Ovis aries: one gene and its partners. The protein of the gene in region 3 interacts with the protein of the main gene of each other region in a pairwise test. Links are inferred from orthologs where the notes say so. Each region holds a gene or a part of one and is shown on either strand. Other genes may lie near its edges.

Evidence for each region.
Region 1: the proteins of RNF11 (region 3) and WWP2 interact in binary tests that used the Homo sapiens proteins (3 or more experiments, as listed by UniProt). The link is inferred for Ovis aries from reciprocal best matches to the Homo sapiens genes RNF11 and WWP2.
Region 2: the proteins of RNF11 (region 3) and UBQLN2 interact in binary tests that used the Homo sapiens proteins (3 or more experiments, as listed by UniProt). The link is inferred for Ovis aries from reciprocal best matches to the Homo sapiens genes RNF11 and UBQLN2.
Region 4: the proteins of RNF11 (region 3) and RNF168 interact in binary tests that used the Homo sapiens proteins (3 or more experiments, as listed by UniProt). The link is inferred for Ovis aries from reciprocal best matches to the Homo sapiens genes RNF11 and RNF168.
Region 5: the proteins of RNF11 (region 3) and RABGEF1 interact in binary tests that used the Homo sapiens proteins (3 or more experiments, as listed by UniProt). The link is inferred for Ovis aries from reciprocal best matches to the Homo sapiens genes RNF11 and RABGEF1.
Region 6: the proteins of RNF11 (region 3) and SMURF1 interact in binary tests that used the Homo sapiens proteins (3 or more experiments, as listed by UniProt). The link is inferred for Ovis aries from reciprocal best matches to the Homo sapiens genes RNF11 and SMURF1.

The regions. Positions count from the first base shown.
Region 1 is NC_056067.1:36,523,214-36,525,764, reverse strand, and holds the end of WWP2 (NEDD4-like E3 ubiquitin-protein ligase WWP2), read right to left. Parts: intron 2,346-2,551; coding exon 2,246-2,345; 3' UTR 501-2,245; downstream 1-500. UniProt on the Homo sapiens protein: E3 ubiquitin-protein ligase which accepts ubiquitin from an E2 ubiquitin-conjugating enzyme in the form of a thioester and then directly transfers the ubiquitin to targeted substrates.
Region 2 is NC_056080.1:49,146,004-49,150,277, reverse strand, and holds the start of UBQLN2 (ubiquilin-2), read left to right. Parts: upstream 1-1,474; 5' UTR 1,475-1,798; coding exon 1,799-3,673; 3' UTR 3,674-4,274. UniProt on the Homo sapiens protein: Plays an important role in the regulation of different protein degradation mechanisms and pathways including ubiquitin-proteasome system (UPS), autophagy and the endoplasmic reticulum-associated protein degradation (ERAD) pathway.
Region 3 is NC_056054.1:25,684,247-25,688,506, forward strand, and holds the start of RNF11 (RING finger protein 11), read left to right. Parts: upstream 1-1,460; 5' UTR 1,461-1,948; coding exon 1,949-2,071; intron 2,072-4,260. UniProt on the Homo sapiens protein: Essential component of a ubiquitin-editing protein complex, comprising also TNFAIP3, ITCH and TAX1BP1, that ensures the transient nature of inflammatory signaling pathways. Promotes the association of TNFAIP3 to RIPK1 after TNF stimulation.
Region 4 is NC_056054.1:191,860,600-191,864,759, forward strand, and holds the start of RNF168 (E3 ubiquitin-protein ligase RNF168), read right to left. Parts: upstream 2,801-4,160; 5' UTR 2,465-2,800; intron 2,152-2,464; 5' UTR 2,116-2,151; coding exon 1,815-2,115; intron 1-1,814. UniProt on the Homo sapiens protein: E3 ubiquitin-protein ligase required for accumulation of repair proteins to sites of DNA damage. Acts with UBE2N/UBC13 to amplify the RNF8-dependent histone ubiquitination.
Region 5 is NC_056077.1:28,693,183-28,697,482, reverse strand, and holds the start of RABGEF1 (rab5 GDP/GTP exchange factor), read right to left. Parts: upstream 2,801-4,300; 5' UTR 2,444-2,800; coding exon 2,307-2,443; intron 1-2,306. UniProt on the Homo sapiens protein: Rab effector protein acting as linker between gamma-adaptin, RAB4A or RAB5A. Involved in endocytic membrane fusion and membrane trafficking of recycling endosomes. Stimulates nucleotide exchange on RAB5A. Can act as a ubiquitin ligase.
Region 6 is NC_056077.1:37,673,586-37,677,085, forward strand, and holds part of SMURF1 (E3 ubiquitin-protein ligase SMURF1), read left to right. Parts: coding exon 1-112; intron 113-267; coding exon 268-333; intron 334-1,739; coding exon 1,740-1,815; intron 1,816-3,248; coding exon 3,249-3,496; intron 3,497-3,500. UniProt on the Homo sapiens protein: E3 ubiquitin-protein ligase that acts as a negative regulator of BMP signaling pathway. Mediates ubiquitination and degradation of SMAD1 and SMAD5, 2 receptor-regulated SMADs specific for the BMP pathway.

The DNA of each region.
Region 1 (2,551 bases), on a different chromosome or scaffold from region 3:
TTGATCCAGGACAAAATCACTTCCATGTCAAAGGCATCGAGACTGCGCTGATGGATCCCATCAGAACCTTTAAGTTCAAAAAAGTGGGCGGCAAGCCCCTGGCTGACCATGAGCTCAAGTCCAGGGTATCCCTCTATCATCACGGAATTCAAGAAAACAGGAAACGTTTCTCAGATGAATGGCTACCCAGGAGCTGGTTCCTAAAACCTGTTCAACTTGCAGCCTCGGGCTGTTGATGCACTGGTGCCATGGCAACTGCTCAGAGAAACCCAGGCCAAAGGTAGCCGTGAGGCAAATAAATGAGGGCTGAAGCCCATGATCCTTAGATGAAGACTGGGCCACCCATCAGAAGTGTGGCTGCCTCGGTTAATGACACACACTTCTCAAAACCAGCAAGGTCATAACATTTCCATTCGTGTAGACCTGGAAGGTCCGTGGGGCCCAGAGACCTTTTGCCTGGAGGACAGTGACTTTGGACACATCCACGCCAACACTGCCCACAGCTGCTGATTGTTTATTGCACAAGAAACTGGCAATACCAAGGGCAAGGGGGTGGGCATTACAAAACAATCTGGTGACCAGCTCAGAGCTACCAAAGGGCATTCCGTACAGACACCTCAGTTATATACACGTATGTACACACACACCCACGTGAACGCACTCTGCACGCCCATGAACCTGAGGCTCCCAAACCCTGCATGGCATGGTGGCTTGTGCCCCAATCCCCAACACGGTGAGACACCGCAGGGAAGCACAGCCAACGATCCGAGGGAAGGAGGAGGTTGGGCTGCAGTGAGCTGAGCCGCTCACATCAGTACACACAACAGAGCAGACACGGGCCAGGGTGGAGAGGGGAGGACGAGGACCTGGGAGCACGAGCCTGTCCTCAGACAACGCCGTGGGTAGCCTGAGGACCTGCACGGGGACCCAGCGACAATCACCACTCCAGCATCCCAGAGGAGTGTGTTCGCCTGAAAGATCTGAACACGTGGCAGGACGCCCACGGCAGAGGTCGGCAGGAGCTCCAGCAATCAAGTCAGACTGCAGAGCAGCTCAGGGCCCTTCTGCTGGTTTCCAAGAGCATCGTCTCTTTTGTGCAGGTAAAGCCACACTTCGAGGCAGAGTGAACACACTCTACAGTAGCAGGAACGCTCTTCATTTTCCATCCGGATGCACGAGCCGCCTGGAGGTCCAGGGTCTTAGCAGGTCAGCCCCACGCACCCCATCACTCCATCTAGCAAAGGGAGTTCTCCTCTCTTGGAGGCAGCGAGGTTGGGGTGACACTCAGGACAATAATCCCCTTCCCCCCTTCTCTGTCAAAGGCTCGGGGATAAGGCTGCTGGGAAGCTGAGCCACTGGGTCAGGCCTGCCCGAGCTCACAGAACTGTGAAGCAGGCTCCTAAGAGGAGCAGCCGTTTGGGAAATTCCTGGACCAACGGTGCTGTGTGCCTCTGGGTCCCAGCCATGCCTGGCGCACCAGCTCCTTGACAGGAAGTGACAGCAGCTTACCAACCACAGAACACAAAGCGGCCCTATGCACAGAATACTTCAAGTTTATGTAAAAGGGAGAGGAAAATCTGAGGGCGTTTCCATCCCCTGACATCCCAGCAGCTGGTAACGACCCTCTGCCTGCTGGCGGGGACACACTGGCCAGCACTGAGTGGAGCACGGCCGTGCTGCTCAGCCTCCTTGGCTGGAGCTGGCTAGCCAGGAACAAGAGCTGACCTTGGTCCAGAGCTCCCCTCCCTCAGACCTTCATTTATATAGATCACTGGAAAAGTTCTATACAAAATAGAACCTCTTTTACTGACAAAGACCCTGGGCTTCCTCAGCCCAGAACAGCTACCCCAAATGGCCAGTCTCCCTCTCACCTAACCAGCCTGTGAGGCCCAGGGCTTCAGCACAGGGCACCCTCCCTTGCACATTCACACAAACCTAGGGTTGGTCTCAAGGGAGAAGGATGAGTTTTCCAGAGAAGGTCAGCCCTCTAGACTTTGCAATGGCTGATGGGGCCAAGGGCGACATGGGGGCTTTATTCCAGACTGCCACCAGTGGGGAAGAGCAAAAGGCAGGGCAGGGCCTCTTGAGGTCAGGCTCTGCTGCCACCAGCCTGATGACAGTGTGGTCCTACACGGGACGACCATCCGTAGGGGCCTCCCGGGGGCTACAGGGCCAGCGGCCTCTCGGGCAAGGAGGACTCAAGACTACACATGTGCTGGGGGTTGGGGGTGGGGGACAGCCTCAGTTACTCCTGTCCAAAGCCCTCGGTCTCCTCAACAGCGTACAGCAGTTTCTCCTTCAGCTGTTCGTAGCTCTTGTATGGCGGCAGGTCCAGCCGGTTGAAACTGTCAAGAAAGGAGAGCAGGGCAATCAGCACAGGGCACGGGTCAGAGCTCTAACAGCCACAGGGGTATTGAGAGATCCCATACTGTGACTCAACCACGATGCCAGCTGGCCACACACAACAGGGTCCTCAAAGGCCCCGCTGTGTCCCTCAACCGTGAAGGGGTTAGAGGAGGGGACAGGGCTACAGGGGAAATGGGGAACTGCA
Region 2 (4,274 bases), on a different chromosome or scaffold from region 3:
GGTTACTAAAGTATTTGTGTCCTAATGCTTCAAATGCTATTAAATGCTGGCAGAAAACTAGGGGGGAAAGTACATTTTTGCATGGTATAAACCAGAATTAGAAATTTATACATAAATTTGAAGTTATTTGTTCTATTATTCAAGTGCTAGATCTTTATTGCTTCTACTTAATCTGTAATTAAGTTAGATAAATATGTTAATAGCTGCCACTACTATTGTATGCCTGTCAATTTCTACCTATAACTTCCCACCAAAATAACTTCTCATTTTTTAAAATTGTAAAGGCAGAGCATACCTATAAAAGCTGTCAGAAAATTAATACATTTATTTTAAAAAAGGGACAATTATTCATAATTTCAGTACCAAGTAATAACCACCATTAACATACTGGTGTATAGTGTTTCAGGGTTCTTTTTACACATTCACCATCTTTAAAGACAGGTTACACATACTAACTGCTTAGAAATAGTTTTAAAATAAAATATACTTGCTGTATTTTTTGGTATTGAGACATAATGATTGTATAATTTCTAACTGTACAGAAATATAAAAATAAAGCTGACAGTGAAAATACTATGTACTTTCCCTATTTCATGTACACTTTGTATCATACAAATAACCACCTATATTTTAAACAGTGCATATTTGTATGGTAATGTAATATATCTGACCAATCTGTGTAAAGATATACTGATTATCTTTTAAAATAATTTTTTGAATACTGTAGTGCATGTACATTTTTTACATATGTATTTTTGCATCCTTATCCAATTATTTTCATAGGTGAGGTCTCTGAGGCACTTCCAAATAAAGGTGGAAATATTTAAAATATTGATATATATGTTAAAATTGCCTTATAACAACCTACACTTCAAAATTAACATTGGAGGACATTTTCTCAGTTCTCTCTCTCCTGAAGATAAGGCTTATTATTATTTTTCATCTTTTCCAATATAAGACAGAAGAAGAATCTCATTGTTTTAATTTGAATTTCTTTGGTTGCCAGTGAGCTTAATCATTCTTTCATATGCCCATTGGCCATTTGCATTTCTTTTGTAAAATGCAGGTTCCTGCCCAGTCCTCTTCCCTTCTAAGGGTGGTGTTCACCTTTCCCTTTTTGCTTTGTTAGTGCTCTTTATTATTAATTGGGGTCGGTTCGATTCAGGCTTTCACCTGTTCACTTTACTGCCTAATGGAATATATATATGTATATATATTTTTTTCTATTAGCTTTTAATGTCCTTTATAGAAGCTTCCTCTCTTTCTTTCCCTCTCTTTTCGCTTGTCTGCTGTTGTCCTTTCGTTTCTTTCTATCTGTTTATCTCTCTGATTTTCTTTTTTGACTACATAAGTTTTTAATTTTGACCAAGTTGCATCTATGATTCTGGGCCTGGCGCCGCCTCAGTAGGGGGAGCAGCGGGGAGGAGAGCGCGGAGCTGGGGGAGGGGAAGGGGCGGGGAGGAGCGGGCGGAGCAGTTGCAGAAGCTGCTGGGAGAGCGCGCGGTGGGATCACACGGCGGCCCGGCGGCGGCGGCGGTGGCGGCGGCGGCGGCGGCGGCGGCGGCGACGGCGGCGGCGGCGGCGGCGGCCCAGAGACCGGAGCGCCGATACCGCGGCCCGCGGCCTACACGGAGCCTTCTTTTCACCGGAGGACCAGTGATCCGCAGTCTTCAACACAGAGGTACTGTGCTCCGCGCTCCCCGCCCGGTCCGGCCCAACCTGCTGTGGCAGTGCCTCCTTCTTTCCTCTCTCTCGCCTGCCGGCGCCTTCCCTGACTGCCTGCGTCACCGCGGCCGCCATGGCTGAGAATGGCGAGAGCAGCGGCCCCCCGCGCCCCTCCCGCGGCTCTGCTGCGGCCCAAGGCCCAGCCTCTACCCAGGCCGAGCCCAAAATCATCAAAGTCACTGTGAAGACCCCCAAAGAGAAAGAGGAGTTCGCAGTGCCCGAGAACAGCTCAGTCCAGCAGTTTAAGGAAGCGATTTCGAAACGCTTCAAATCCCAAACGGATCAGTTAGTGCTGATTTTTGCCGGAAAAATCTTAAAAGATCAGGATACCTTGATCCAACATGGCATCCATGATGGACTGACTGTTCACCTTGTCATCAAAAGCCAGAACCGACCTCAGGGCCAGTCCACACAGCCTAGTAATGCCGCGGGAACTAACACTACCACCGCGTCGACTCCCAGGAGTAACTCCACACCTATTTCCACAAATAGCAACCCGTTTGGGTTGGGGAGTCTTGGAGGACTTGCAGGCCTTAGCAGCCTCGGCTTGAGCTCGACTAACTTCTCTGAGCTCCAGAACCAAATGCAGCAGCAGCTCTTGTCCAGCCCTGAGATGATGATCCAAATCATGGAAAATCCCTTTGTTCAGAGCATGCTTTCGAATCCTGATCTGATGAGGCAGCTCATTATGGCCAATCCACAGATGCAGCAATTAATTCAAAGAAACCCAGAAATCAGTCACCTGCTAAACAACCCAGATATAATGAGGCAGACCCTCGAAATTGCCAGGAATCCAGCTATGATGCAGGAAATGATGAGAAATCAAGACCTGGCTCTCAGCAATCTTGAAAGCATCCCAGGTGGCTACAATGCTTTACGGCGCATGTACACTGACATTCAAGAACCCATGCTGAATGCCGCACAAGAGCAGTTTGGGGGTAACCCATTTGCCTCGGTGGGGAGCAGTTCCTCCTCTGGGGAAGGTACACAACCTTCCCGCACAGAAAATCGTGATCCACTACCCAATCCATGGGCGCCACCACCGGCTACCCAGAGTTCTGCGACCACTAGCACAACAACTAGCAGTGGCAGTGGATCTGGCAGTAGCTCCAGCAGTGCTACCGGAAACACAGTGGCTGCAGCCAATTATGTCGCCAGTATCTTCAGCACCCCAGGAATGCAGAGCTTGCTGCAACAGATAACCGAAAACCCCCAGCTGATCCAGAATATGCTGTCTGCACCATATATGAGAAGCATGATGCAGTCTCTGAGCCAGAATCCAGATTTGGCTGCACAGATGATGCTGAATAGCCCTGTGTTTACTACAAATCCTCAGCTGCAGGAGCAGATGCGTCCACAGCTCCCTACTTTCCTACAGCAGATGCAGAATCCAGAGACGCTATCAGCCATGTCAAACCCAAGAGCAATGCAGGCTTTAATGCAGATCCAGCAGGGGCTACAGACATTAGCCACTGAAGCTCCTGGCCTCATTCCAAGCTTCACTCCAGGTGTGGGGGTGGGGGTGCTGGGAACCGCGATAGGCCCTGTAGGCCCAGTCACACCCATAGGCCCCATTGGCCCCATAGTCCCGTTTACTCCCATAGGCCCCATTGGGCCCATAGGACCCACTGGCCCAGCAGGTCCCCCTGGCTCCACTGGCACAGGCGCCCCCCCTGGGCCTACTGTGTCTAGCGCTGCACCCAGTGAAACCACGAGCCCAATATCGGAATCTGGACCCAACCAGCAGTTCATTCAGCAAATGGTGCAGGCTCTGGCTGGTGCAAATCCTCCGCAGCTGCCAAATCCAGAAGTCAGATTTCAACAACAACTGGAACAGCTCAACGCAATGGGCTTCTTAAACCGGGAAGCAAACTTGCAGGCTCTAATAGCAACAGGAGGCGACATCAATGCAGCCATTGAGAGGCTGCTGGGCTCCCAGCCATCGTAATTACATTTCTGTACCTTGAAAAAATGTATCTTATTTTTGATAATGGCTCTTAAATCTTTAAACACACACAAAATTGTGCTTTACTTTCAGTTTGATTTTTTTCAACTCTGTCTAGTTATAAATTTAATATGCATTTTAAGGTGGAGTCCTTTCCTCCCTCTTTGTTTCCTCCCTCCTTCCCTCTCTCCTTCCTTCCCTCCCTTCCTCTGTTTTGAATGGTGAGAATCAATGCTGTTTTACTCAAAGGTGTTGCATGCAAACACTTCTTTATTCTGCATTTATTGTGATTTTTGGAAACAAATCAACCTTTACAGTTGGGTGAACAAGTTTTGTCCTACAGATGTCCAATTTATTTGCATTTTAAACATTAGCCTATGATAGTAATTTAATGTAGAATGAGAATATTAAAAACAGAAACAGATTAACTGAAACTCTATAATTTGTGGTACAATATTGCTTATTGTGATTTTGGCATGTATTTTTGCTAGCAAAATGCTGTAAGATTTATACTATTTGATCTTTTTTGATATATTTGTACACAGTACAGTAAGCACAATTGGAACTGTACATCTCGATAAATTGCAGCAGAATCTCTGAGCAG
Region 3 (4,260 bases):
TTGCCTGGAAAATCCCAGGGACAAAGGAGCCTGGAGGGCTGCCGTCTATGGGGTCGCACAGAGTCGGACAAAACTGACGCGACTTAGCAGCAGCAGCAGCAGCAGTGCCCTCTAGAAACCTGTCCTGGGGGTGGCAGGAGACCTCACTGTTTACATATCTTCCTAGGTGGATTCTGGGCTCCATCAAGAATAAGCCAGATTTCCTTAGTGCCTAATATAGAGTCTAGTGGGGAAAAAAAAAAAAAAAGTAAATGAAGAATGAAAAAAAGACAGTCAAGACCCTCTTTTCCCCTCGTTGAATGAATATTAGAGCATTCTCATCTTTCTTATTTCCTCCCTCTACATACATTGCCTCTTGAACTCTTTGTTATTTCGGTTAAGAAGAAAGGCTATTCTGCCTCAGGCAATGTGCCAGGTCTTTGTACAGAGGAGGGGCAGATTCAGCTTGATCTGGCTGTGATAGAGACTCACAGGGACTCAGGAACTGAGTGCTCAGGGACTATGAGCACAGAGGAGGTAACTAACCCAGACAGGAGGGTTAGAGGACAGGCTTCCCAGTGGAATCAAAGTTGAGTCCAAGAAGGACAAGTGTGGATATAGTTTGATGGAAGGTATAAGCTCAGGAGTGGGGAGAAGTGAGTTTATGTCAGAGAAACATCATAGGTAAAGACCTCAGCCAGAGGGAATAGTCTTCTAGATAACTGAAAACTATTCAGACATCCTAAAGATTAGAATATGTGAGGGAACAAGGCCACAAATGAGACTGGGGAGGTAGCCAGATTTGTAAACCATTTAAGAATTAATACTTCAGTCATAACAGTATTGGGAAGTTTTTAATGAATGTTTTAAAAGGCTTAAATTCCTCCTACAGGAATGACCTGATCAGATTTACATTTTAAAAAGATAACTGTACAAATAGTAAATTGAATGGGGGCAATGGCGAACGCAGGGGAAATAGTTCAAAGTATTACAGCAGAGAAATGACGGTAGCTTGTACTATGGTGGTAAGAATAGAAATAAATAGAATAATCGGTTGAAGAATTCTTCTGACTGTGATGTAGGAGGATTGCAAAGTGACTGGGGAGGTAGTGAGTTTGGACTTTATTCTGAAGGGATAGAATATTTTAATATTTTAGTCATGGGAGTAATCCATTCAGATATGGGTTTTAAAATGGATTACTTGGCAGAAGGTGGCCAGAAGACTGTCAAAACAACGCACAGTTAAGAGCTGAGACAAGCGAAGAGGGAGCAGAGCGCGTGGGGAGGAACCGAAGACCCAAAAGAGGTATCGGAATCGCGTCCCAGGCTGTCAGAGAAGCAGAAACTGACGCAGCCCCAGAAACAGCTGCTGGGGACGGGGGAGGGGCAGGGGGGTGGCAAAGGAGCAGGGAGCACAGCCGGAGCTACCCACGCCTCCCAGCGCCGGGGGCGGGACCAGGGCACGCACGGCGGCGTGACGCAGGGCCGCAGCTGGCCTCGTTCTGGCCGCCGCCGCCGCTGCGAAGCGGAGTAGGATGAGGCCCGCGGCTGCGGCTCCGGCGTCGGCGGGGCCAGCAGTAGCAGCTGAGGCAGCAGCTGAGGGAGCCGCGACGGCTGCGCCCCCCCACTCCTGACCTGGATTAGGCCCAGCAGCTCCGTGGCCGCCGCCGCCCCGCGGGGGGGCGGGGTGGGGAAGTGCTTCGTCTCCCCGCCCCCCCCCCCCACTGCCGCCGCCTCAGGAGGCAACCGCCGCGACCCCGGGAAACCCGCGGCCCAGCCTTAAGCCCCCAGCCCCAGGGACTGGCATGAGCTGCCCTTCGGCGGCGCCGGGGGCCGGGGGAGCCGCTGCCGCCTGAACCCCGGCCTGCCGCCCGACCCCACCTCGCTGACCGAGGCTGACCGCGGAGCGTGCGAACGACCCCGCCACTGCTTTCTTCCTCCCCCAGATCACACACCCCAGCTCCAGAAGATGGGGAACTGCCTCAAGTCCCCCACTTCGGATGACATCTCCCTGCTTCACGAGTCTCAGTCCGACCGGGCCAGCTTTGGCGAGGGGACGGAGCCGGATCAGGAGCCGCCGCCGCCATATCAGGTAGGGGAGGGTGTGTGTTGGGGAAGGGGGGTGCGAGGAGTAGAGGCGGCTCTGGCGGAGATTGTGGGGGCTTCGGGGCTGTCTGTCACTGTCCCTGGCCTCGGCAACACCCGGCCTGAGAGGCACTGGACCCCCTTAGGGCTGGGTTTAAGTGTGATTGATCCCATCGTCAGTGTAGGGGGAATCCTTCACCTCCCTTCGAGCAGTGTGGGGATACTTCTGTCCTTGAGTTCTGGGATTCGAGTGTGTGACTATATCCCCTTGGCCAGTGACTGGTGGCTAGATTGTGGAGTTCGGAAGTGATATTTTCATGCCTTTATATGTGCATTGTGAGGTTCGAAGGTGATTTCCTCATCACCGGCTGGATTATGGGTTCTGGATAAGTGGTTAACCTCCCCCCACTACCCCACCCCACCACACATACATCCCATTTATACTTTAAAGTGTGATCCTCCTCTCCTCCCTCTCGTCTGTCTGTATTCATTGAATTTAGTAGGCGTTCATTTCTTCCTGTGCTTGGGAGATTTTCAAGTAGTGATTTTGGTTCCAGCAACATGGAGTTGCTTCTTTACATATATATGTATACATATTTATGTGTGTGTGTGTGTTTATACTAATTGTAGGAGTCAGCTTAGCGACTGAACAGCAACAACAGTATTAATTCTGAACCCCTCCTCTTTTTGCTCCACCCCTGTGACACACCTTTTAAACGCGCTGATTTAGAGAACTTGATTATCTTGAACTTTGGAAACCTTTAAACCTTACTTGAGAAATACCTTCTGTTACTCATGGTTTCTCCGTGTGTATCAAAGACTTGTCTTCTAAATGACTTCACTGCTTTTTGTGCAGCAGTCAGCAGCTCCAGATGTCTTTACACGATTTGTAAAGAGCTGAAGCCCTCTTTAGAAAACTCAAAATAGATAGGTAGATGTTATAATCCATAATATATATATAAACCTTTCCTCTACTATTTCAAGATGTTGATTAAAAACTTTACCAGAAGGACTTGGATAGTTAAGTGGCTTAATTTTTTTTCCTGATTGGGGTTTAATTTTCTAACTGGGCAGTCTCCTTTGTTGTTTCATGTGGTGACATCATTATCTAGTGTTATTCTTTTCTCATTCCTATGTTAATCAGTGTCTCACCACACCAGAAAAACCTGATCACAAATGCTGGTTTTCTGAATAAAACCCATCAGGGGCCTTTCATATATGCTGGTAAAGTCCAGTCTTTTCATGTGGCTTACAGAAGACTCCATGATTTATCCCTCACATTCATATTCCAGGCCTGTCAAACACAACAGCTTATTCACACCTCTCTGCCTTAGTTCCAATTGCTCTCTCTGGAACCCTTCCCCCAAGGTCAGCAGGTGAGCGTGTAATCCTCTTTGAGGACTCAGCTGAGCTGTATCTGAAGTTCCTAAATTCCCCTCCCTTTCGCCCTGAATCAATCACTCCCTTCTTTGTGTCTCCCCTGAAGGAAGTGTCTGCACTTTCAAAAGCAACGCATATAACACTTATATGTTGTCCTTGTTAAGTTAGATGTGTGTCTCATTCTTGAGGCATTTCCCTCCTTCTCCAGTATAAGCTGAATGCAGGTAGGAACTCTGTTTCCTGTTTGTTGTATCCTCAACATCTGGCTTCATAGTAGTTGCTCAGTAACTGGAATAAGGGAAAACTCTAAGCCCTTGAGAACAGGGACTACCCGCCAGTGCTTAGTGCAGTTTCTGGCTCATGAACACTTAAATGTTGAGTGAATTAATGAATTTAAATGGAGTATTGTTATGTAAGTTTACACACCCATTTCTTCCAAAGAATTGTCACAGGAGAAGTCTCTTTAAAAATCCAAACCAAATCTAAGTGCTTTCCTGAGTCTTTGAAGCAAGTAAATTGTTTCACTCTTACTTTCCTTCAAATTTCACTCTTGATTTCCTTCATAAATGTTTATAGGACAATGTGCTTATTTCCATTTCATGAAAAAAATTTTTTAGAGGTACGAGTTTTTATTTCAGAATCTCCTATATTCCTTAGTCCTCTTATAAGCAAGTAAAATACCTTCAACTTATTGTACTCTTTCTCTTAAATACATGTATATCTTATACATTGTTAAGAATAACTTCTTTAGAATTTATGGAGATTGTATTCAATATTTGCCTTTTCCAGGAGGATAAGATAATAAAGAGAGGGTTT
Region 4 (4,160 bases), about 170 Mb from region 3:
TTTTAACTTTAAATTTATTTATTTTAATTGGAGGCTAATTACTTTATAATATTGTATTGGTTTTGCCATACATCAACATGAATCCACCACGGGTGTACACATGTTCCCCATCCTGAATCCCCCTCCCATCTCCCTCCCCATATCATCCCTCTGGGTCATCCCAGTGCACCAGCCCCAAGCATCCTGTATCCAGCAGGTGGATTCTTTACTGCCCAGGCACCTGGGAAGCCCTTCCCAATGAATACCTATTGCTTATTCTGAAGTTCTTTTGTTCTCAGATCCATCAAACAGCCCAGATGCTTCCTTCTTGCTTATACCACGGAGATCTGATTTTGGTGATTTGTCCTGGTATCTTTTGGGGTTTATGGGAACATTTTATGAGCTAATTCTGTGGTAAATGATGTCTATGATGTTTAATTCTGCTAAACAGATGGTGTGTGTGTTTTACTGGGGCTTCACAGAAATTAAAAAAACAAGCAAATTCACAGAGAACTCTGGAAAGGGGGTGGGGAAGAGTGGGAGTCATAGCTTAATGGTTAGAGTCTGTCTGCTGCTAAGTGATGAAAAAGTTTTGGAAACATAGTGGTGATGGTTGCAAAACACTGTGAATGTAATTAACACTACTGCGTCCACTTAAAAATGATAAAAATGGCAAACTAAGAAAAGCTAAGACCAAGTTGGATAGCATATTAAAAAGCATAGACATTACTTTGCCAATAAAGGTCTGTAGAGTCAAAGCTATGGTTTTTCAGTAGTCAGGTATGGAAGTGAAAGTTGGACTATAAAGAAAGCTGAGTGCCAAAGAATTGATGTTTTTGAACTGTAGTGCTGGAGAAGGCTCTTGAGAGTCCCTTGGACTGCAAGGAGATTGAACCTGTACATCCTAACGGAAATCAGTCCTGGATATTCACTGGAAGGACTGATGCTGAAGCTGAAACTCCAATACTTTGGCCACCTGGTGGGAAGAACTGACTAACTGGAAAAGACCCTGATGCTGGGCAAGATTGAGGACAGGAGGAGAAGGGGATCAACAGAGGATGAGATGGTTGGATGGCATCACCAGCTCAACGGACATGAATTTGAGCAAGCTTCAGGAATTGATGATGGGACAGGGAAGCCTGGTTGTGCTGCAGGCCCTGGAGTCACAAAGAGTCAGACATGACTGAGGGACTGAACTGAACTGAACTGAACTGACAATAAGTAAAAAGAATTTCAAAAAAAGGTAAGTATTAAGCATTGCATTCAAAGCCTAAACAAAAAACATCGCATGACTTATTGAGCACATAAAGTGTTCAGTTTGGGGCATAAAGAAGAGTCCACACTGTGGAGGACCTTTGAATAAAAACGGCTGAACTAGATAGCCACAGAAAGCTGTTTTAGGCTCCCTGCAAGCTTAAGAATTAAATGAATGGCAATATATAGGCAAGCAAGTTAGAGAAAATAATTGAAAGTGAAAAAGACATTAACACAAGAATCCTTACTTCTGCTGTTGCTATACTGCGATTGTGGCTCCTCTGAGACTATTTATATAACTTTTCACACCGACTGAAGACTATCGGGCAATTCTTTTGTTTTGGGTTTTTCTTTTCATTTTTAATCGAACAAACACCAAGTGAACACAGGCTGGGCAATGAACAAAATCTTGCCATTGACCTTAATCAACATTTTGAGGCCAAAAAACCCCAAATACCTCTGAAAATTTTAGACAAATACTAACTGGCTCTCTGTTTCATCCTTTAAAAAATGGATTAGTGGCCGTTGGCTTTCAAAATGACCTTGGTTTTTAGACAACAAACGCGCTGGGTTTTACTCACCAATTTCCTTTGATTCTTGCCCAGAGGCTCTTAGCTTGCATTCCTTTGGATAGTGTTTTTGAATTGTCTCCCACAGTTCCATATTAACAAGAGAATTTGTTCGGGTACGGTACCGAGCCCACGAAGAGACCCGGCGGCGACAGAAGGGACAGCACAAACTTGCCTTTTCGACAGTCGATTCGAAACATGGTTTACAGAGCGTGTGGTTACAAGGCAGTGTCACAGGCTCAAAGAGGATTTCCACACAGATTTGGCATTGACATTCTAACAAGGAAGGGATGGAGTCTTTGCGTACAGCCATTTTAATATGCTAATAAGGCATATTCAACATCAATACCTGAAAGAGAAAGAATCTTGTTTCCGGTCCGAATAAGAAAAAAGCAAAGTAACAGTTTTGCGTTTTAAATATTATGCCCAGTAGTCTGCCATAATTCAGAGACTGAAAGCATCAAATGTCTAGAAGTAAAAATGGTGTTCTACAGGTCAGGTAAACAGTACGACCCTGGAAGGCGGTGTATTTGTCCATGTTTAAGATAAACATCCGGAAAGAAAACAAATGAATCTTGGCTGCTCCCAGGCATTAACAATCATTGCAGCAGGGCGGAAAGTGGGCTCCAGCTCACGCGCCAAGTTCCCCTCCTCCCACTTACCAGGTGAGAACGCGCCCTTAGCTCCTGGCAGCCAAGACGGAGGCCGCCGAGGCGCACAGCCCTCGGGCCATCGCTCGAGGAAGACTGCAGCTCCCCCCGGACGCGGGCTCCGTTGGAGCAGGACTTCCGTTTCACCGCTGCTGCGGGTCCGCGTTCGCGCCTTACTCGGATTCTGAGCCCACCCCTTGTCCTCTCTAAAGTCAGCCAGAAAGCCTAATCTTAGCGGCGGCGCCTTAGAATCCCGCAAGGGCTAGTGGCGTCACGACTGCCCGCCAAAACAGCCCCTCCCACCATACAAAACCGACAAAGGATACAGACAGCTAACATTCCGCAGACGGGACTTCCGGGCCTGCGCGCGCACTGCCTGCCCTGCTGGCCCCGCCCCCCCGGCCGGGAGAGAGCCCGCCCCTCCCCTTGCTAGGCGTGTGTGCTTGCTTGCTAAGTCGGTCCAGTCCTTTTGGACTCTGCGTCACTATCGTCTATGGCCCGAAAGATTCCTCTGTCCTTGGGATTCTTGAGGCAAGAATAATGGAGCGGGTTGTCATGCCCTTTTCCAGGTGATCTTCCCAAACCTGGAATGGAACCCCTGTCTCCTGCGGCTCCTGCATTGGCGGGTTCTTTTACCGGTGAGCCACCGCCCCCCTCGGGTCGTTGTGGCTCTAATTTTCTCGCGTGGTTCTGCTCCCGGGGACGGCGGAAACCGGGCAGTGTCGCAAGATTGGACTCTGGGCAGAAAAAGGGAAACCTCAAAACAAACTGAGACCCGAGCGGTAACTTGAAAATTCTTCCCTCTGTACTCCTCAGCCTACCTTTCTGTAGTACCCTTCTGTACTGTTTATACATGATGGCCTGCCTCAGGGAACCTTGCCCCTCTGCCTGACTGTTAAATCAGGACCTTTGTTCAGGACCCTGCTCACCTGTGGATGGCTACAGGAAGGAAGAAATTGACACATACCTTCCCCAGACTTGCCATTCTAGGAGATACTTGCAAGAAGAAGGGGCTTTTTACTTCTCTTCCTCACCCCACCCCCTCCACCCCACTCATTCTGTAAAAGAACCTGGCATCCAGACCCAGATAGGATGGTTATTTTGAGACATTAGTTTGCCATCTTATTGGTCAGTGAGTAGAACCAGCTCGGACTTGGTAATGCTGTCTGTTCAAGCACAAGCTGCCTGTTCTCTTTATTTGGTGCCCTGCAATAAATGCTGTACTTTATCTTAACACAACCGCATGTCAGTAGATTGGCTTTGTTGCAGACCCAAGTTTGATTTAGTAACACTTCCAAGACATAGTTCCAGTCTCTCTCTCTTTTGTGGCATGGTTTCTCTAAACAATGTGTCTGGAGAAGGATAAGACTAAGTGCATGTATCTGGCAACCAACCTATTTTCAAGGAGGAACCAGCAAGGTAACACATCTTGTATTATTTATCCTTCTCTACCTAACTTCCCTCCAAGGTGTTACTCATTCTGGTTGTCCTGAATTTGTACCTTCTAAATTAAGTAACTTTTGCCTGTAGGGCAGGATCCATACTTTAAAATGTTTCTATTGTTGACACTACATATTGCATGGCATTTGTTTAAAAAAGATTATAAAATATATGATCACTGTGTGGGAATTCCCTTTCTAGTATAAAATACCTATGGAACTGTACCAGAAAGAAAATACACATCAACATACGAAATACAGTAGATTTT
Region 5 (4,300 bases), on a different chromosome or scaffold from region 3:
AACTGAACCAGCTAGCTTCAAAAATTATTTATAAAATTTCTATCTGGCTCCTTCCGAGCTGCCCTCTGCCTAGCACAGGGGATGCTGCCAACCAGTGTGAAACAGCATGGAATTTAGAGCCATAAATGCTCTTGCTACATTCTTGCTTCAGGGATTTCAGAAATCTCATTGCCGTCATTTGAAGAAAACAAAAAGCTTAAGACACTCTTAGTGGGTAAAATTTTATTCTATCATGCACTCACACTTAGCATTCTGATCATAACTTCTAACTATAAATGTATCTAATGAACTGAGCATAATTATAGTCCTTCACCCACCTAGTGACCGTAAACAAGTGAGCCATGCTACCAGAGATGAAAAAAAATGTTTTACTACATAATAAAAATTACGCTTCCTATCCCACCAACAGTAACTTTAGCAACAACAGGAATCTCATGGGGTAACTTGAAAGCAGCAGCATAAAGTACAGCATTTTCTTAAGGCATGTTAGGAGCTTTATCCAAATAACAAACAGATAAAATAAGAGCTGCATAATGGTACGTGGGAAAAAGATGAGTCAACTATTATTGTTTTTCCTAAGTGTTTACTCAACAACACTTTAGATTATTTCAAGGCATTTCAGTCAAACAAACAATATATATAATGTTTCCACAATTCTTTAGGACAAAAATGAACATTTAATATGACTTTCAAAATGCCTGGCCTCTGTTGTGAAACTTTTTTTTAGGGTCAGCGCTGGGTTAAGAAGCCACTTAATAGCATTTCTATTCTAAGTCACAGAACAGACAAGTATGTTACACAGACATCTCCAATATTTTAGGCATGGGTCATCTCTGCTGGAGATGTCTACTTTGCAACCAATATAAACACATGTGCCAAAAGTAAAACTTGCATTGTCAAGACAGAAATTCTGTTTCTAGCCAAAGACTGACAAAAGTAAATAAAAACAAGATCTTAGTTCTTCTATTTGTAGCTATCTAAATAAATACGGATTATTTTTTTTTTCACTGAAAATCAACATCAGAAATCCATGATGTCTCAAGTCCTCCAGGAACACTCGGTGAATGCCTGACTTGAATTGAGATGCAAAGAGATAAAAGCAGAATTCCTGTTTATGGAAGTGTACGGATAAGCAAGGTCAGACGCACTCAAACAATTAGTAAATGAACAGACAATTCCATTCAAACACTCAAAATACAAGCTAGCGCAGAATCAAGCACGTTCCTGATCTGCCTGTAAGACGGACATAAAAATTCCAAGTTAACCAGGCAAATAAAATAACCCGCCTCAAAATCCTTCCCTGGTTCTGTCACCGTCAGAGAAAAGGCCCAAGAAACTCCAGCATCTCTGTCCCTCTCTCTGCACTTTTTCCCTTTTAAAAAACCACCTCCTGGGGAGTTACTCTCCTCTCCTCCTTTAGCTGCCCCACCCCCACATTCCCAAGACCCCTAAAATTCTCACCCCACCTCGTCAGTCTGAATAGTACTCATTCTTCAGGACATTTCCGGAAATATTCCCAGGTACCTCCCTCCACACCCCGCAGTCCTTCGGGGCACCTGGGGTGTGGTCCCCACCCCACCCCGCCCCTACTCTTAGCTCACTCTGCTCACCACACTGTATCTCCGCTGTCCCCCTCTCCTGAAGTAGCTAACTTCTAGAGAGAAGAAAATGATTGCTGGGGAGGTCCATAAATGTTCAAATCCTGAACACTTCTTAATCTTCCACCTAAGAACCAGTAACTCTTAAAATTATCGTTATCATTAAATGGATTAAATCAAAATCTTCGGGCATCTCTGGAAAGCTTTCTTGGTACAACTATTTTAATTAGTAACTTTAATAGACTTTTTTGAGTTTGTTTTGCCGTTCTAGATTTACAGGAAAAAAAAAAAAAAGGTACGACTATTTTTACACACAAAACACAAAACTCTCCAGATCCAAAAAACTACCTCCCAGGTGATGCTGTAAACTCATTCTAACAAATGTTCCTGACACCTAATCAATCTCACGGCTAGGCGAGGCCCGGCGCCCACTGACACATTTCCCAACCACAGGGCTTGGTCACTGGCGCTGAGACATCACCAGCAGGCTCTGACCTACTCTCTTCCCCCCTGCCAACTAAACTTCCGTGATGGGCATCTCCTCCCAGACAGTTTGGAAGCAGGGACTTCTCCTAAAAACCCAGGCCCACAACTTCGCCCTCAACCACAGGGCCAAAGTTAGGACTAGTCTTCAGTCCCCGCGCTGGAAGCATTCTCCCAGCTCCGGGACCTTTCCCTCTCCAATACCGACGAGGCTCCCTTAAGTACCTGGCGCCCCTGACAGGCCGGGCTGCGACGGGGTCCCCCAGGGGCCCAGGGCACGACCCACCCGGGAACCACCACAGGTGTCCCTCGGTACTCCGGCAACTGGACAGTGAGGAGGGAGCCGGCCGGAGGGCAGCCATCCCGCGAGGGGTGGACGGTGGCAGAAGGCGGCCAGGAGCCAGACGCGCGTCTGCCCGTCGGAGTTGGGCCGGGCCGCAGAGAACTTGGCGACGAGCGCCCGAAACGGGCAGTCCGAGCAAAGCAGAGGATGAAGGGGGCCGACGACTACTGGGACCGCCCAGGGCCGCGCCGCCGGCCCCGGGGCTGAGACGGAGGACGGCAAGAGACACCGGAGCGAGATGGCCCCAGCCAGGTGGACAGCCCAGACCAATGACCCAGCACCCGCCCTCGCCAAGAACCGCGCCGCCCTCGCCCCCAACCCGTCTGCCCCGTACCTCGCCTGCGGCTCCACCGACGTCAGGTCAGCCGCTCTCCGCGCGTCGCTAGACGAGGTGGCCGGTATTCGTCCACAACCCGCCCTCACGCCGGCCCTCCCTCTCGCAGCCCCGCCCCCGGCGCCGCGAACGCACGCCACGCACGCACGCGCGCACGTCACTTCCGGGGCTTCGGCGCTAGCCGAGAGGACGCGGGTTTCCGTAGGAATCGGCTATTGGTGGAGATGGCGTGGATTCCTGCAGGCGCAAAGCCTAAAGGCGAGGGGAAGGAGACGGCTTCGACGCTGATCCCGGGGCGCTGATCTGGAGCGTTCGGGAGCCGGCGGAGAAGCCGGTGTTTCCTTGTCTTTTTCTAGGAGTAGGCGGAGGACGACGCTGCCCGTATGACACAGCTCCTCCCATTCTTAGCTTGGAATGGGAGGCGGCAGCTGCCTAGGCTCTCGGAGAGCAATGTTTGGGCCCGTAGATGGTTCCAGGCCGCAGGACATGAGGCTGCCTGAGAAACTCATGAATCCCACCGCTTCACCCGGATCTTAGGATTTTTAAAGTTCTTGAGTTAAAGGACCTTAACGAAAGTGGTTGATATAGAAACCAGTTTTACAGCTGAGGGTAACTGAGTTCCAGGAGTTAAAAAGTTAGCCAGTGTCTCGCTATCGGTGGTCGAGTCATAAATGGAATCCATTTCTCCGTGATTCCCATTTCAGGAATGTTGGAGACAGCAGCTGCCTCTGTATTCTGGATGCCATCTATGGCACAAAGAGCAACCACGACTGGGGGAAAAAAAAAAACAAAACAGGGAAAGAAAAAAGAGAAAATGCAATACGGTGTCTGGGAGGGAGATCTGGATTGGAATCCCAGGTTTGCTAAATGCTGCCTCAGTGATCTCAGACAGGTTCCCTAATGTCTCAGTTTTTGCTCATTATTTATAAAATGGAGATTGGTTCTTCCTCAGATTACTCCTAAATGCTGGAGGGTAGTAGAATATGCCACCCCAAAATATGCTTCATTGGCATAAGGATTATTCTGAGAAAGAGACACAGAGAAGCCCTGAAAACCAACTAGAGGTTAACCTTCCGTAAGGGAATCGTACATTTATAAAAGTGTCTCCCACTCTGTACCTAGCAGAGGTGTCCTCTGCTACACTCTTAATACATCACTAGAGACTCATCAATGGAGAAGACACTGGCTTAAACTGTGTAACAGACTTTTAAGCTTGTTTTTCTTCCCCTAGTCACCTCCATAAGTGGTCTCCACCCTCCCCTCGCACCCCCACAACATCTTTCCTCTTTTGTCTTTACCGGAAAATGGTATTTAGGTTGGCATTCTAAGCCTTTTCCCTGGTTAGCTCCTGTGTACATGTGATGGATACGTTAATACATTTCTGTTTTTCTCTTGTCACTCTTATTTTATAAGGATTTCAACCAACTCAGAAAAGCAGAGAGAAAATTATTTTCCCTCCCCTACCACACCTAAAGTATGCTCTGCTGAGGATAGCAGACTATTGAGGGAAAAAAAAAGTACCTATGCTGAGAAGCTTACATT
Region 6 (3,500 bases), on a different chromosome or scaffold from region 3:
ATAACCATCAGTGTGTGGAACCACAAGAAGGTTCACAAGAAGCAGGGAGCCGGCTTCCTGGGGTGTGTGCGGCTGCTCTCCAATGCCGTCAGCAGATTAAAAGACACTGGCTGTAAGAGCCCAATGCTTTTCTGCCTCTTAATGCACTGAGGAAGGCTTATGAGCCATCATTTTGTTTATTATTATTTTTGAATACTGAATACAGAATTCCCGCCCTCCTCCCTAGTTACCATTCCCCAGGTTAAGTTTTGAATTGTTTGTTTGCAGACCAGCGTTTGGATCTGTGCAAACTAAACCCCTCAGATACTGATGCAGTTCGTGGCCAAATAGTGGGTAAGAACTTTCTCATCTCTAAAGAGATAACTTTTACAGAACTTAACATCCAGCTCTTCATCACTGAGAAAACACACAAAGCCACTGACCCATGGTGACATACGCGAAGGACAAGCCGCATTTGGGGGCCATCTCTCCAGTACTAGAAACTTTCATCTTGTGTGGTTTTTGTTACTTTATCCGATTCCCTTCATTTAGTCGTTCTAGGTGGAGTTAAAGTGACTAAGGTACACAAAGATGTAGGGTTGTAATTTTTGATGTAATTTTAGTCCTCACATTTGTCCCGCTACCCAAGCGCAGATGGTAAACGTGGTGGCCGCGCATGCACGAGCTGAGACAGCTCCACAGGAAGACCGGTCCACATGTAGGAGGCAGCGGGATTTCTGAAGACTTCTGTGTCCTATGATTTTACAGAAGATTGACTGACTTAGAATGAAGGCGCGAAACATGCTGATGCTCCGAAATGTTGACTAGACATACTCTGCTGGAAGTTAATTTGCTGGTTAAGCAGTTCATCCTGTTATCCACACATTTCAGAGTAACTCAGATATTGACCCTGCATTGCAGGGAATCAAAAAAAAAAAACAGAAACCACCCCATAGTATTTCAGTGGCACACAGAATGACTTGTCTTGTGTAGAACTTGTTGTTCAGTTGCTGAGTGGCGTCTGACTGCAACTTCAAGGACTACAGCACGCCAGGCTTCCTTGTCCTTCACTATCTTCCAGAGTTTGCTCAAACTCATGTCTGTTAGGTCAGTGATGCCATCCAACCATCTCATCCTCTGTTGCCCCCTCTCCTCTTGTCCTCAATCTTTCCTAGCATCAGGGTCTTTTCCAATGAGTCAGCTATGTAGATCTGACCCAGGATAAATGAACAGTGAGTATCCATCCTGCAGACTCTCCTGATGACAGAGTTCTCACTCTCTGCTTGTTTGTGATGTCTCCTTTTCTTTGTGGAGGGATGTGCAGGGCAAAACCAGTGTCTGGAAGCAACTTCATCAGTGTCTTTGTTGATTGTATTAGGGATGGAGAGTAGATACACAGATGCATGTAGACTGTGCAAAGAGTGCTCTCTGTGTCCTTATCCAGCACAAGTTGGAATCTTTAAAAAACAAAATAACTTGGAAAAAGTGAATATTGTGTTATTTTTATGAAGATCGTGGAAAACACAGCACCTCCTTCTGTTCCACGTTCACGAGGAAGGGTCCGGGTGGTGTGTGGCGTGTGGAGCCCCTGAGTGAAATGTCTCATACTTGAAAGCACAGGCATGTGTAACGTGAGTGCGGAGACAGACGCCTCCCTTTAAGAATCATCTCGTATATGAATGATGCATTTCTAGTGGCTCACTGTATTGCAGCCGTGTAGAGTATCCCTGGATTTTAATGCGAGTGTCCTTTCCTTTCAGTCAGCCTACAGACACGAGACAGGACCGGCACCGGCGGCTCTGTGGTGGACTGCAGGGGCCTGCTGGAGAGTGACGGGTGCGTGCCCCGGCCGCCGGCGCTCGCGCTGCCGGAGGGCGCCCCTCACACCTTGTCACTGCCTTGAGTGCCTGAGGTGCAGGGAGGGACTTCGGGGTGCAGCTGCGACCCAGTTGCCTTGTCTGTAAAGGAAGCTGTCAAGACGAGTAGGCTTGTGCCCCAAAGACTCAGGGTCCAGTTTACAGAGGTTCCCACTGGCCTGAGAGCATTGGCCAAGAATGATAACTGCAGCACATCACACCAATCCGTGGAGTTCATGGCGATACAGAAAGAAATGTTATAAAAACCAAACCCCCAAAGCTGTCAGGAGCTCTCGTTGGTCACTACCATGATTTTCCGATCCCCGATGAATTAACTCTTAATGCCGTTAATAGTTGTGGACACCATCAGGAAAGAACCTGGCGTGAACACAGGTCTTGGGGGCCCCAGGGGTGGGAATGGGCTGCCCAGCCCCAGGGGACTATAGCAAACCCCATCCAAAAGTGGGGCTCCCTGTAGACTGGAGCAGACCTAAGCCAGTGTCCTCGGCAAATACGCTGCAAGGAGAAGAAGGGAATAAAAAGGAAGGAAGAGAACCTGCAAATTTAATAAACAGGATTTAAGAGACCCACCTACTAGATGCAGTGTGTGGATCTATTTGGACCCTGATTAATGAGATAGTGGACTGTTGAGATTTGAATATAGACTGGCATTATGACGACCCATTTTTGGGATCATGCTAATGGTAAAAGGCCTGTCTTTCAGAGCTATGTGCCGAAATAGCTAAGGATGAGATGGTAAAATGTGGGGATTGTTTTCCGAATAATCCAGTGGAGGGGGAGGAGCTGGACATGCGGCCACGGGGTGGTATCGGAGGTGGTGAAGACTGCAGGGCGCTCACTGAGCTAGTCCCTCTCTGTGTTTCTCTGAAATTTTCCAGTGTAAAATGTTTTTCAAAAGTACTTGCTTAAAAGGGAAAATAGCCTATTAAGGTAAATTGTCTTCACAGTTGTTCAGGGGATGAGGATTTATGTTAAAAGTCACTTTTAAAGTCATTGTAATATTTGATGTAACCAGGAGTTCTATTATAAAATGACAAGGCAAATGTAATGTTTGAATTTGATTCCAAGTCAAGAAAGTTGAAATCTCCTTTTCTGAACTTCTTACATTCAAGGTTGGTGTTTTCCAACCATTCAGCTATCCCCAAGTTTGAAATCCTACCTTGGCCTCAGTGGCATTTAACACATGGCTTCCTTAGGCCACTGATTCTTCGTGAACAAGTTCGGCTTCCCAGTGAAAAAGGACAGGATGAATTTTATGAAGCTAAGCCCGGGGGACATTCTGTATTGTCTAAGAGAAGCAGAATAAACAGGCGTGAGAGTGTGGCGGGAACTGGGGGCGCGTCCCCGGCTTCGGCGGGTGTGGTCACGTGGGCTGTGCTCTCCCCCTTCCAGAACCGTGTATGAAGACTCCGGGCCTGGAAGGCCCCTCAGCTGCTTCATGGAGGAGCCAGCCCCGTACACGGATGGCCCCGGGGCTGCGGCCGGCGGGGGCAACTGCAGGTTTGTGGAATCCCCGAGTCAAGACCAAAGACTTCAGGCCCAGCGACTGCGAAACCCTGAGGTGCGAGGGTCGCTCCAGACGCCACAGAACCGGCCTCACGGCCACCAGTCGCCGGAGCTGCCCGAAGGCTACGGTGAGGGTGC